Linked DNA regions of Saccharomyces cerevisiae S288C. The protein of the gene in region 2 binds, or shares a complex with, the protein of the main gene of each other region. Each region holds a gene or a part of one and is shown on either strand. Other genes may lie near its edges. The genes, in order: TAF9 and TAF6. A codon is read from its position in the direction of its gene.

What was found.
Region 1: the proteins of TAF6 (region 2) and TAF9 are in contact, whole or in part, in a cryo-EM structure (PDB 6T9I), measured with the Saccharomyces cerevisiae proteins. Residues at the interface, in NP_011403.1 of Saccharomyces cerevisiae: Ile10 (codon at 3,609), Trp11 (codon at 3,612), Ser12 (codon at 3,615), Pro13 (codon at 3,618), Asp15 (codon at 3,624), Thr16 (codon at 3,627), Val17 (codon at 3,630), Val20 (codon at 3,639), Ala21 (codon at 3,642), Ser23 (codon at 3,648), Leu24 (codon at 3,651), Leu26 (codon at 3,657), Ile29 (codon at 3,666), Asn30 (codon at 3,669), Val33 (codon at 3,678), Ala36 (codon at 3,687), Leu37 (codon at 3,690), Asp40 (codon at 3,699), Val41 (codon at 3,702), Arg44 (codon at 3,711), Ile45 (codon at 3,714), Leu46 (codon at 3,717), Glu47 (codon at 3,720), Ile48 (codon at 3,723), Ile49 (codon at 3,726), Val53 (codon at 3,738), Asp62 (codon at 3,765), Val63 (codon at 3,768), Leu64 (codon at 3,771), Thr65 (codon at 3,774); in NP_013963.1 of Saccharomyces cerevisiae: Pro30 (codon at 3,019), Arg31 (codon at 3,022), Asp32 (codon at 3,025), Val33 (codon at 3,028), Leu35 (codon at 3,034), Leu36 (codon at 3,037), Leu39 (codon at 3,046), Leu40 (codon at 3,049), Gln43 (codon at 3,058), Ile45 (codon at 3,064), Gln47 (codon at 3,070), Tyr48 (codon at 3,073), Glu49 (codon at 3,076), Asp50 (codon at 3,079), Gln51 (codon at 3,082), Val52 (codon at 3,085), Leu54 (codon at 3,091), Gln55 (codon at 3,094), Leu56 (codon at 3,097), Met57 (codon at 3,100), Asp58 (codon at 3,103), Phe59 (codon at 3,106), Ala60 (codon at 3,109), His61 (codon at 3,112), Arg62 (codon at 3,115), Tyr63 (codon at 3,118), Thr64 (codon at 3,121), Gln65 (codon at 3,124), Val67 (codon at 3,130), Leu68 (codon at 3,133).

Annotation. Positions count from the first base shown.
Region 1 is NC_001145.3:740,040-746,536, forward strand, and holds TAF9 (chromatin modification protein), read left to right. Parts: upstream 1-2,931; coding exon 2,932-3,405; downstream 3,406-6,497. Other genes in the region: RNH1 (RNA-DNA hybrid ribonuclease), read left to right, coding at 227-1,273; GTPase-activating protein RNA1, read right to left, coding at 1,473-2,696; BCH1 (exomer complex subunit), read left to right, coding at 3,710-5,884; DFG5 (putative mannan endo-1,6-alpha-mannosidase), read left to right, coding at 6,314-6,497. UniProt on the Saccharomyces cerevisiae protein: Functions as a component of both the DNA-binding general transcription initiation factor complex TFIID and the transcription coactivator SAGA complex.
Region 2 is NC_001139.9:295,612-303,309, reverse strand, and holds TAF6 (TATA-binding protein-associated factor TAF6), read left to right. Parts: upstream 1-3,581; coding exon 3,582-5,132; downstream 5,133-7,698. Other genes in the region: CUE3 (Cue3p), read left to right, coding at 1-1,773; ribosome biosynthesis protein NSA1, read right to left, coding at 1,941-3,332; SLD3 (Sld3p), read right to left, coding at 5,372-7,378; YGL114W (uncharacterized protein), read right to left, coding at 7,673-7,698.

The DNA.
Region 1 (6,497 bases), on a different chromosome or scaffold from region 2:
TTTGAGAATTTCGTCAAATTCTGATGATATCAATTAATGGCATATTTTTTTTATTTTTTATCTGGAGAAAAAAATGTAAAAATGACAGCAGCATCAACAATGAATAAAAGCAAGTACAATAGTCGTAAAGATCTATATTAATTTCATGGCAGCACAATAATACACGTTGTTTAAATTAGTTAAAGTGTCACTCCTTGCTTATCGAAGGAACTATCGATTCCTAATTATGGCAAGGCAAGGGAACTTCTACGCGGTTAGAAAGGGCAGGGAAACTGGGATCTATAATACATGGAATGAATGTAAAAACCAAGTTGATGGTTATGGTGGTGCAATTTATAAAAAATTTAACAGCTACGAGCAAGCGAAATCTTTCCTAGGTCAACCAAATACTACATCAAACTATGGAAGTTCAACGCATGCTGGAGGGCAAGTTAGTAAACCTCATACCACTCAAAAGCGAGTTCATCGAAGGAATCGGCCACTTCATTATTCCTCCTTGACATCGTCATCAGCATGTTCATCTTTAAGCTCTGCTAATACAAATACCTTTTATTCAGTAAAGAGTAATGTTCCAAATATCGAGAGTAAAATCTTTAACAATTGGAAAGACTGTCAAGCCTATGTCAAGCATAAAAGGGGTATAACCTTCAAGAAGTTTGAAGACCAATTAGCTGCGGAAAACTTCATTAGTGGTATGAGTGCGCATGATTACAAGCTCATGAATATATCCAAAGAAAGTTTTGAATCTAAGTATAAGCTTTCTAGCAATACCATGTACAACAAGTCTATGAACGTTTACTGTGATGGTTCAAGTTTTGGAAACGGCACGTCATCTTCAAGGGCAGGTTATGGTGCATATTTTGAAGGAGCGCCAGAGGAAAATATTTCAGAACCCTTATTATCGGGAGCTCAAACTAATAATAGAGCTGAAATCGAAGCAGTATCAGAAGCTTTGAAGAAAATCTGGGAAAAGTTAACTAATGAAAAGGAAAAAGTAAATTATCAAATCAAAACTGATTCAGAGTACGTAACCAAATTATTAAATGACAGGTATATGACGTATGATAATAAAAAACTTGAAGGGCTACCTAATTCTGATTTAATTGTTCCTTTGGTGCAGAGGTTCGTTAAAGTTAAAAAGTACTATGAGTTGAATAAAGAGTGCTTCAAAAATAATGGTAAATTTCAGATTGAATGGGTAAAAGGACACGATGGTGATCCAGGAAATGAAATGGCAGATTTTCTGGCGAAGAAAGGAGCATCTAGACGATAATGCTGTTTTTTGCTTGGCTTCTTACTGGACCTGTTGTACCTGTAATAGAAATATATATTTTATATCTTTTGCATACATATACATACATCAGCTATTTGGTTTTTTAACTTACCCGATAACTATCTATAAGCGTGTCACCATGATATTTGCCTGAACCTCGTCCACAGTTGATTGTGTTTATTTTTACTTTTATTCATAGCTATTTGATTTCAGTTTCAGCTAAACGTTCAGCAAGATCATCTACTTGTACTTCTAGCAGTTCCTTTTCAAGCCTTTCCGTTTCAATTTCTTCGAGTTTTTCATCCTCGTCCTCGTCTTCCTCGTCCTCGCCTTCCTCATCTTCACTATCGACCTCTTCAAAATCGTCAACCTCTAAATCATCAAATTTGCTTTGGAGCAAATCTAAAGCATCAGAATCTTCATCTAATCTGTTACCATTTATTTCTAGCTTTTCCAATTCAGGTAAATTTCCCTTTTCCATAGCCGGTAAGAAGGATACTTCAATGGTTTCTTGAGCCATTTCATTATATTCGAATTTCAAGACATGCAAATTGGGGAATTTAACTTCGGTGAATACTTTAAAGACTTCATCTGAACCAGCAGTTTTCAAAAGACAGTCGTTCAAATTCAATTCAAATAAACTATCCTTCCATGTAGGCAAGGCCTTAGCAAGGATCAAAGAAGCATGTTTCGTGAAAGTATTGTCTTGAAGATCCAAGATTTCCAAGTTTTTCAAGTACTGTAAACCGTAATGAATTAGCGTGGCGACACCTTTAGGCCTAATACCATTTTGGTACAGCTTTACGACTTTCAAACCTTCGGAGTGGCTTTTCAAACCCAGAGCTAAGTAGACTGCGGATCCATTCTCTAATCTATTTCTACCACAGATAAAAGTTTCCAAAAATGGTTTGGAAGCAGCTTTCTTATTTTGAGCGAGATGAAATAGGGCCTTACCAATCCTTTCACCAGCAAAAGGGCCCATACCATTGTTACTTAAGATCAAATGTTTGATATTCACGGCATGTGCAATGTAATCTTCTAGTAACTCGATTGTTCTTAGCCCAAACGCATTATCAGAAAGGTTCACAATCTCCAAGTGAGGACATTTCAACAGAACAGGCAATAAAAACTTCAACGAATCAACGACTTCGTCAACCAACCTCGAAGTGTATAAGTCAGCAAAATTTACTTCAACCAAAGATTCCCTGACCTGTGTATTTTCAGCGATGCATTTAGCTAATGCTTCCGAAGCTTCAGTACCGATTGTATTCCCTGAAAGGTCTAATTTGGTACAGGTTTTCAAAGCTGCCAATTCTTCCAGGTATGGTTTGATATCGTCACTGGTTGTTAACTTGAGTGCCTTCCCAGAGATGGAGTAAACTTGTTCTTCCTCGTGCTGAGGAACGAAGTGCAAGGTAGCCATAGCTAAAAATCTGTTTCGAAAGACAGCCTGTTAAAATGGCCTATATTCACCTTTTACCGTGATATTATGCCTTTGATCAATATCTTCCTAATAAATTTTTTTCCATTAATTGTCCCACAACGTGCATAGTGACATGCATTCCATGACCAAACTAAGAGCTTTAAATCAAAAGTAGAATTTGACATTATGAAACAACACGACAACAAGAAAAGACTAGAGGACTTCACAGACCATTATGAACGGCGGAGGCAAGAATGTTTTGAATAAAAACTCAGTGGGCTCAGTATCAGAAGTTGGTCCGGACTCAACACAAGAGGAAACGCCACGAGATGTCCGTCTTTTGCATCTGCTCCTCGCATCACAGTCGATTCATCAATATGAGGACCAAGTACCGCTACAATTGATGGATTTTGCACATAGGTACACACAAGGAGTCCTTAAGGACGCGTTGGTTTACAACGACTACGCTGGCAGTGGAAATTCTGCCGGCAGTGGATTAGGAGTAGAAGACATACGGCTTGCCATTGCAGCGAGAACACAATACCAATTTAAGCCTACGGCACCTAAGGAGCTCATGTTACAGTTAGCTGCGGAAAGAAACAAGAAGGCATTACCTCAAGTGATGGGTACGTGGGGTGTCAGGCTTCCCCCAGAAAAATATTGTCTCACAGCGAAGGAGTGGGACCTTGAGGACCCAAAGTCTATGTGAATGCACCGCTTATATATCATAAGTACACTAAATCAAGTTCTTCCGGAAGATGCGTCATGTAGAATGCATAATAGAGTAATATACACTAAATAATGCGCTAGTCGTGTATCGTGATCATGTTCTCTAATGTTCTTTTTCCTGCCTGCCCTTTCCTACATGGAAAGTTAGAGAAATGAGATCTACACGATAATGTAGTAACAAATGGACCCTTAAACATCTCAATTCATCTTCTTGAGAGCACTTTCCGCGCTGTATTGATTTTTAGAACGTGAAAAGGATAAACTGAAAACTTGAAGTCCTAACCATGTTGTCTCAAACCTCCATACCGGAAGTGAAAGAAGACGTGATAGGCTATGCGCTACACCAGAGGAGAGCCAGAGTGGGACAATTCCAAGACTTGGGTCCGCCTGATTTAATTACTTTGATCAAATCGTTACCTTCATCCTCGAGCACAACAACTGCTACTGCCTCCGCCAACGATAACGGAGCAACTTCAAACATCAATGGACAAGATCCTACGACCATAGTTACGGAGTTACATTCCCATGACAAATTAAAGGGGCAGATCGGCACTTTCTTTTACTGTATGGGTATCGATACTTCGGATCCAACTTCTATTACAATCTTTGCCAAAAAGATAACCGATCTTTTCTTAGACACGCCCCAAATTTGGTTTGGTAAGAAGAAGCACTTTCACGTATCGAAGATTTCTATCAGTTCTTGGAATGCGTTTAGGAAATATGATGTTAACATTATAGTTCACATTCCAGGAACTGTGCAAACCTACATTATAAATAGCGACGGTGAACAATCGCAACTTCCCTCCGTGGCAGAAGCGTCATCTGGCCGCAACTCACAGGATTTAAACGTCAACATGATTTGGGCGGAAACGTTTATGAGTGGTATTGTACGTGACATTATGATTATGAAAGATAATCGTGCGGATGGAGAATCCCAGAATTTGGTAGAAACACTAATTTTCAATCCATTTACCTCGGGTGAGTTGGAAGATGTTGCCAATAACTTTATTAAACTGTTCCCCTTGGTCTATGAAAAAGGTGTTTATTTAGATGCACCTACTCACGTTTTAAATCCCTCGTTAACCAATAATTATTTAGTGGAAACTTTAGTGGAAATAGTTAGGTTAACTAAGAGTTTGGAAGCATGTCGTAAAATGCTCAAGAAGTTAATAGAAATTCATCCAGAAGCAGTAATAATATTAATTCGTGTTTATTTTGCGTGCGATTTAGAGATAGATGCAGTTGACCTGATCAACGAGCAACTAAATTCCCCCTCTTCGTTCTTAGCCGACGATTCAAAGACTAGCCATATCCAGCTAATCTTCAAATCCGAATTATTAAGTATTCAAAGTGAATTCTTACTGGATGTCAAGAGAGATTACAAGCTTGCTAAGGAAGTAGCCATGGAGGCTGTTAACTGTGCACCAAACGAATTTAAAACTTGGTATTTATTGACTAGAATATACATTAAACTAAACGATATGTCAAATGCCTTGCTATCGTTAAACGCCTGCCCCATGTCACAGGTTAAGGAAAAATACGTTCTTAGAAGAATTGCGCCTATTACTTCAGATGAAAATCTTCATCTGCCATTACCATTGGATGCCTCAATTGAGGAGATTTCGTCATTGAACCCCATGGATGTCCAGTTGGAGCAAAAGTCCGCAGATCCAAACCTAGTCAATCTCTCTGCGTCAAGTTTAAAGTCTACTTTCCAACTAGCCTATAAATTATTGACAGAAATTGTCCAAATAACAGGATGGGAGCAGCTGTTGAAATATAGATCAAAAATTTTCGTTATGGAAGACGAGTACCAAGGCTCCACTTCTTCCATTGATGAAGCAGAAGTTCGCGGTAATGATATATCCAAAATGAGATCAAAGAGGCTATGCGAAAGATGGTTGGATAATCTCTTCATGTTACTATACGAAGATTTGAAAACTTACACCGATTGGCAATCAGAGCAATTGTATTTTGATGCTCAAAACAGTAAATATCACAAATTAACTGTTGAATGGGAATTATTCGGCCTTTGTGCGAAAAGACTGGGACATCTTCCAGAAGCTGCGAAGGCTTTCCAAATTGGGCTTTCCCAAAGATTTTCTCCAGTATGCGCAAAGAATCTATTACAGTTTTACATTGACGAGCATAAGCGTATTAGGAGGGATTCAGTCTCAGCAAACTCCGAGTTAACCTCTTCTCAAATATTGTCAAGTATCAATGACATCGACAGCTCAATCATCGATCTAGTAGTCAAGATTTGTTGCTGGAATCATCGTTGGTACATCGAGTTCTCAATAATATTAATAGATGCTCTGAGTGTTGCAGTACAAGATATGGGCATTACTAAAGTACATAATGAAATTGCCTCTAGATTTTCTGACCCAGTAGCCCAATTGATTGACGATAACATTCTAAATTTTCTGAAGAATTTCACGAATGACACTTTCGATAATTAGAAAAAGATGAATACAATCAATAAAAAGGTGAAAGAAATCAATTAACAAGAAACGGGTTATGTATTTTATGTATGATATCCTGGCATTGTCATGTATAGGTCACCTTCTTGGGGAATTTCCCATTTTCAAGTTATTCTGCCTCTAATGCGATAACCGTAATCTTAAATTGTTTAATTTCTTTTTCACAATCTGAGCCACGCCCGAAAAAAAAACAATGTAATCCGCGTAAAGCGAAACTGAGTATAACCCAAAAATAGAATGTAAATTAATGAAAAGCCCATTTCTCCAAAAGATCAGCTTTACTCAAATATCTAATTAAGTAATTGACTGTGTACATTGTCCTTTATCTCATTTTGAATCACCTTTATTAATTTTTGGTTGTTATATAGGACGAACAAATTAGAACGAAATCATATCCAGAACGCAGATATGATCGTCAATATTAGTGCGAAGATGATCTTATCGATATGCTTTACGTTTCTGTCATTTTTTAAAGCCACTCATGCCATGGATTTGGATACTACTAGCAAAACGTCAATTTGTGATGCGACAGCGTTAATTCAAGGTGGTATGCTGGATTACTATGAGGGTACTAGATACGGTGGTACCGTTG
Region 2 (7,698 bases):
ATTGAAAAGGACCCCGTAGTATGGCTGCATCTAATAGAAACCTATGTAACGTATTTTGAGTATTTGATGCAAGGTGCTAACGTTGAATTATTAGATGAATCTACACTTGATCATCTTCGTTTATTTTTGAGAACTTACTTGCATGAAATTGCTGATGAGGAAGGAAAGTTATTAAGTCTCGGTATCAACCATGATGTGTCTGAACAGTTATATTTACTAAAAGGCTGGATATTTTCATTGATCAAGAAATGCGGGTTATTACATCTTCAGATTTTTGGTGACTCCCTGTGGAATTTGATCAAAGTATATGTTAGACGTAATCCAGATTCTATTCGTGGTTTGATCGATGGCTCATTGAAACCACGGATCAACACGCAACGTGTACAATTGGACAAATCGTACCAAGTTCAACAGCATTTGAAGCAGTTAATAGAATCTGGAAAATTTAAAAGAATAGATTTAAGGTGCGTTGAAGATCTGCTGTCTGCCAAATCCATGCAGCCAAATAAGTTTGCGGAGAACTTCTTTACGGCAAATTGGATTGAAATTTTAGAGGCATTATGGGCAAAGGGACAGGGCCGGGGTCATAAAGAGGCTAGAGAATTGATCATTATCAGTTTATTTTCTGTTTCTGCTGATCGTTTACTAAAAATAACTAAAGAATTAGGCATAAGCAATTTTGAAACTTTGGCGTTATATCCTCTTTTAGGAACAATGCTCATAAATGAAGGAGTCCACAAAAGGCTTCCTGATTTGAAGAGCAAGTTACTATTTCTGAATTTAGGGGGGTTGTCAATGGACGAAGGAGACCATATGAGCTATCCAACATCATCAGGTACTGAAGTTAATGAAGAACAACTGTCCGCGTTGATGGAATTGTTCCCCCAGTTTTCTAAATATCAATTATCTCAAACGTTGCTTGCCTATGATAATAACATTGAATTAGTAACGAATAAAATATTTGAGGATCCTACCATTATCGAAGCATTCTCCAGAGAACCTGCGGAGGAAGAAGTAGAGCCGGTGTCAGATGGTGATAATGCATCCTTTACTGAAGAACTGAGTATATTGGATAGAGGAGATAGCTCAAAAAATAAAGAGCTAGACAAAAAGATTATCTCGGAGGGTGTTCCGGATGAATTAAGAAATAAAACTTTGACAAGAGCATTGAAACTTTTATACGAGGCTGATGAAGATGAAAGGGATGACACTTATGATGAAGCCGATGTGAACCGGTCCGATCCTTCGAAAAGAATTGGACTTCAAGAAGACGAAGAAAGCTATGATACAAAAGATGATTCTAATGAAGTGCGACAAGATCATAACTATCATATTGTTGAAGCTTACTTGTGGAATCTATTGAAAGAGGATCCGAAATTATTTGAGAGATCAAAAAGAGGTACAAAAGTCAGGAAAACTATGAAAGAAATGACTTCATGGTCGGATGAAAAAATCGAAGGTTGGTGTCGGATGTTAGAAAGATCTCCTACCCGAGCAAGACTTTTAGAAAAGAAGTTTATGTTCAAAGGAAATAGCAAAACAGGGAAAACGTCTTATGTTCATAATCGTGATAGCCAAAATGATGGAAATGTCGTCAAAGAACAAGCCAAACAAAAAAAATCTGAAAATATTAAGAAACATGAACCTCAATCTACTGAACAGAAGAAAAGACAGCATGCTAAGAATGAAAAAAGGAAAGGGGCTAGAGCTAACCATAACCGTAAGAAGGGGCACGATAAAAAATTGGCTCGTGCGGGAAATAACGCTATTTGATAAAATGCATCAGCATACAAGATAGACAAGCGTATGTAAGTTTACTAGACGGTATACAATTATGTAACGTATTATAAGTTATTCAGCGTCGCGTTCAGGAAGTGCTTTTTTTAATAATTTTTCCCGCCGACTAGTAAAACTTTGCCTTCAATTAGCGTCCTTTACTATTAAATTTTGCTTTTCTTACTGGCTTTAGAAGCAGCTACCTTTCCCTCCAATTTATTCCAAAGCTCATCTGCGTCTTCTTCAAGTTCTGTAACCTTCCTTTTTTGCTTCCCTTTGGCAGCTTTCGCACTTGGACTTAGTGGCATCTCGATTTCAACGTCATCCAGCATAACAATAAAATTTATACGGGACCCAACATAAACCTTCACCAGCATTTTGTTAGTTTTTATATCGAAGATCCGAACATACCTATCTAAACCACCTTGTAAAAGATATTTGCCGTCATGTACATGAATATAGGTTGACGAACCAGTGATATCATCTCTACCCACCTTGCCCAACATTCTTCCATTACCATCGAATTTAAAAACATTCTTTTTGTAGTCAGTAGTAATCACATTCAGTTCATTAAAGGTTTCAGATTGAAAATTCCCCAACGAAGAGACAACATTTTCTCCCTTGGCATCAAAAACTTCCATCTGAGATAATGGTTCACGGTTAGGTAATAAATCTATCTGAGCGAACGGTTTTCTGCCATGTTGTGTGCTGTATTTGGTGAGGTGGGACCAACGGGTTATGGCTGCAAACTGGTAGTTCAGCTTACCCTTTTCAGTTTTACCAGGGGAGGGCTCCAAAAATCTTAGGGCCATGGGCCATACTGGGACTCTCATATCCAACCTGTCGTTTTTAACATTCTTGGCTTCCCAAATTTGCTTTAAAGATTGGAAACTCGAATCTATTTCCACTAATTTTATTAAATTCTCCTCCCCTCCGTATGCAAATATATATTTATCAGTATCGGTATCTTCTAGATCATATAACTGAAGAAATTCTACTGGTGCTTTCAGTCCAAGGGATGCTAGTTTTATTAACTTTTTATCTTCTCCTTTTTTTATAATATGTAATAATCCCGATTTGGTAGCAGCTACGAATGTGTTATTCGACGAATCCTTTTTTATGGGACATAATGTGACAAAACCATCCACCAACTTGGTTCTTTTAACAGATTTACTTGAAAGTGATTCCAATTTGGCATCATCAAAAAGGTCTGAAACTGAGCTGGTTATCTCAAACTCGGATATGTCAAATTTGGGTAGATCATCGGAAAGGCTCTTTTCATTTTTGCTTTCTCCTTTGGGATCGACCTGGAGAGCTTCATTTTCTTTAAGGTGTTTCGAAATCTTTACAAGTTCGACGACCCCTGAATTCCTTGCTAAGATGGCTTCATCTTCGGATATCACCCACATCCTGTCAACGTAAGCTTTCAATCCTTCGGCTAGATGAGGTGCCACATGAAAAGGCTGCAGTGCTGATTGTACGGAAGTGTCAGTCCCGATGTTACACAAAACTTCCTTTATGGATCCACTATCCACACAGCTGACTAGTAACCTCATTTTACGATCGAAGCTGGGCCTATTTATGGTTAAATTTTCTCTGTATTATGTTCATTGAAGTGAGGCTTCGAGATTGGGCATCGCTTTACAAAATTTTTCAGCTTTATTTTATTACCAAAAAAATACCCGGAAACCATCAATAACAAACACCGATTCAAGTAGCAGCAAAAGTAGTTCATGAGCGAAAACAATAGATTGGCTTTAAAAAGGAAGCAAAGGACGCCTCAGTGTAGTTGATAGCCTGTTAAAATGTCTACACAGCAGCAATCTTACACAATTTGGTCTCCACAAGATACTGTTAAAGATGTCGCTGAGTCGCTTGGGTTGGAAAATATCAACGATGACGTGTTGAAAGCACTTGCTATGGACGTTGAATACCGTATTCTAGAGATTATTGAACAGGCAGTCAAGTTTAAAAGACACTCTAAAAGAGATGTTTTAACTACAGACGATGTATCGAAGGCCCTGCGTGTTCTGAATGTGGAACCTTTATATGGATATTATGATGGCTCTGAAGTTAATAAAGCTGTATCATTTAGTAAGGTTAACACAAGTGGAGGACAGTCGGTTTACTACCTGGATGAGGAAGAAGTAGATTTTGATAGATTAATAAATGAGCCATTACCGCAAGTGCCTCGTCTACCAACTTTTACTACACATTGGCTAGCAGTTGAAGGGGTTCAACCTGCCATAATCCAAAATCCAAATTTGAATGATATAAGGGTATCCCAACCACCATTTATTAGAGGTGCTATTGTCACTGCTTTGAATGATAACAGCCTCCAAACACCTGTAACGTCGACGACAGCAAGTGCTTCTGTGACGGATACAGGCGCCTCTCAACACCTGTCTAATGTTAAACCAGGACAGAATACTGAAGTCAAACCTTTAGTGAAACACGTTTTATCCAAAGAATTACAGATTTATTTCAATAAGGTCATTTCAACCTTGACAGCGAAGAGTCAAGCTGATGAAGCTGCACAGCATATGAAACAAGCAGCTTTGACTTCACTACGAACTGATAGTGGCCTGCACCAACTGGTTCCATATTTTATTCAATTTATTGCCGAACAAATCACACAAAATCTTTCCGATTTACAATTGCTAACAACAATTTTGGAAATGATTTACTCTTTACTAAGCAATACTTCTATTTTCCTGGACCCTTATATTCATTCGTTAATGCCTTCCATTTTAACCTTGCTATTAGCAAAAAAACTTGGTGGATCACCAAAAGATGATTCGCCGCAAGAAATTCATGAATTTTTAGAAAGAACGAATGCACTACGTGATTTTGCCGCATCTTTGTTGGACTATGTATTGAAAAAATTTCCTCAAGCATACAAATCCCTGAAGCCAAGAGTAACTAGGACACTGCTAAAGACATTTTTGGACATAAACCGTGTTTTTGGGACTTACTATGGGTGCTTAAAGGGTGTATCGGTACTAGAAGGTGAATCCATCAGATTCTTCTTAGGAAACCTAAATAATTGGGCGCGCTTGGTATTCAATGAAAGCGGAATAACTCTAGACAATATAGAGGAACATTTGAACGATGACTCCAATCCAACTAGGACCAAATTTACTAAAGAAGAAACTCAAATCTTGGTTGATACTGTAATTAGTGCATTGTTAGTTCTAAAAAAGGATTTACCAGATTTGTACGAGGGTAAAGGTGAAAAAGTTACGGATGAGGATAAGGAAAAATTGCTAGAGAGGTGTGGTGTCACTATTGGATTTCACATTTTGAAAAGAGACGACGCAAAAGAATTAATTAGTGCGATATTTTTTGGCGAATAGTGAGAATCGGTTTATACTAATAGTACAACGGTAATGTTATATAACAGTTTTTACATACGCCATTGTATGTATATATATATATATGCATGATGAGTTATTTAATTGTATACTCAAAGGCCCCCGAAGTGCGAAATTGTTGTAGCTTAGTTTTATTTTATTCCCTTTTCGTCCAAGAAAAGCTACAAAGATGGAGTTGGGTCAACTACTTGCCAGCGAAGGTGGTCTCGCAGTTTCTTATTCTATGTGGATTCTGGAGCAAATAAACGTCTTCTTACTCTCCTTTTTGAGCTATTTTCCGGGGGCTTATTAGTGGGAGTAGAGGTAATATTGGAGGTATTTTTTCTGCCTTCATGCGTATCATCATCCTTGAAATTTAGCGGCGATTCAATGATGCTTTGAAGTTGCGCCTTTTTATTAGGTGTCACAGTTCTTTTTTTCACAGCAGGAGTGGCTTGAACTTGTACGTTTTCCTCAGAGTCTACACGTTCATGTAGGCGTATCGTTTCATTGATATCTTTACGTTTCCCAACTCTGCGAAAAGAGTTATTCATAGTTTTGTATGCATTAATAGTTGAGTGCGAGAAAGGCGTTTTGAGTGTGATAGTTGATGAATTCGGTACTCTTGTTGTGCTTAAGTCAGAGACAGAAAACTGCCGTTTTTGTAAATGATTCATCGTTAGATCAGACTTCGTCCTTCCCAATTGTGAAGGGCGCTTTAAGCTTCTAGTTTCACTTTCGAGAAATTCATTCAAGTTAGAGTTCGTTCTAGAATTCAAAAGTTCAGGGGTGGGCGAAGCTATAGATTTTCTGCTGAACAAATTAGCGTCCACCCTTCTCAATGCGGGTGAAGATGGGACGGAATTAATGATTGAAGAGCGAGAGGCACGTTGACTCGTGGATAACCTGTTATACGTTTCTACAGTATTAGGTGACGATACATTTGTGCTATCGTTGACCTTTTTCAGGGCTCTCTTTGGTCTCATGCTTGGTCCCTTGAGCTTTTGAATTATAAATTCAACGGCGTGTGGTACCTTTTTGTTGAAATATGGAATAAGAACATAATTTATGAACCCAACCAATGAGGCTTCTTTGCTTTTGTCTAGGATATTTTTTTTATGCTCTTGTATTGTTCCATTTGATGCTTCTATGGCATCTGGGTTGGGCGTTTCACTTGATAGTAGAATGTCCAAGATGCATGCTCTATCTAAGTACAAGTCTAACTGTTCACAATAATCCAAAGATGTTGTTATTCTCTCGATTCCTTTGTCTTTTTCGCTGGTTTTTTTCTTCGATCTTCGACGAACTAATCCCTTTTTTGTCAAATTAAGTGATCTTTTCTTCAATTTTAATTTATACTTTTTCTCAAAATCTCTAAAATTCCAATCTAAATCGTTCAATCCTATTATCTCTAATAGCAATAATATTTGTAGCTTTATTTCGCGGGATTTTAATACAACACATAAATCAGCAATGGTTGAGCTGTTTTTGTTTTCATCTTGGATAACAAATTTTGTGAGACAGTTCTTCCTTTTTTCATCTGCTATGGGACTAGAAAAGGGCTCTAATAAAAGCCTGTTATCATGTCTATCTTTGAATTGTACAATTGAGAGAAGAAATTTTTGCAGCATGGCTTGATAGGCTATTTTGTAACTGTCACTTCCGTACTTGGTTCGGCAGGTATTTTTGAGCCTTACTAAATTTGACTTGACGAAATATGCGAGAGGCGTATGTATGGAAAAAAGAGCATCATAATACTTACTTTCTATGTACTCTTTAGGGTCTGAATAGTAGTCATTAATTTTTGATTCGCCTTTCATATCTGGGGGATTCATATCCAGTTTAAGGTCTTTGTCCTTCTCAAGCTTACACGAGCCCTTGGGTTCTTCTGACCATAAATGAAGAAGCTCTTTAAATTTCAATTCGTCCCATGTTTTTAACGTTTCACGCTTAGCTCTTTCTCTTTCAACTGTCGTTACAACTTCCGTACGCCTTTCTGGTAAGCTGTAACCATTGAAATAATTGTACGGCCACTTAACCCAAAATCCTGGCCCATATTCCTCTAGTAGAAAATACTCTTTTCTTGATTTCATGCAGATGTGTTTCAATTGACGTCGATTCTTCTGTTGCAGTAATTGGAGAATGTTACTGGGCACGTCCTCGGATTTAATAATAAGTGGATGATCTAAGCTCAAGTCAAGGCCTTTTGTTGCTTCTTTTACCGATGCTATGACTTCCCATGTTTCCATTATGAGAGGTCAGATCGTTCCTACCTATACGATCTTAACCCTTCAGCAGTTATGAATGAGGCTTCTGCCTGTTTTAACAGTGCCCATCACTTTTTTTTATTTTTCTTAAATGGACCATGTTGTACACCAAGATAGCCGATATTTCAAGGTCGCGTATAATATAACATTTTGCCTAGGATTTTTGTCACCTAGAAATATATATACAGGGAAATCTAAGACATCGAATTATGTGATGAGTAAATAATTTAAAATTTGTAAACTTTGTAAATTCTTTATTAGTAAAATATTATATACCTAATAGTGAGGGACATTTAAGCAGA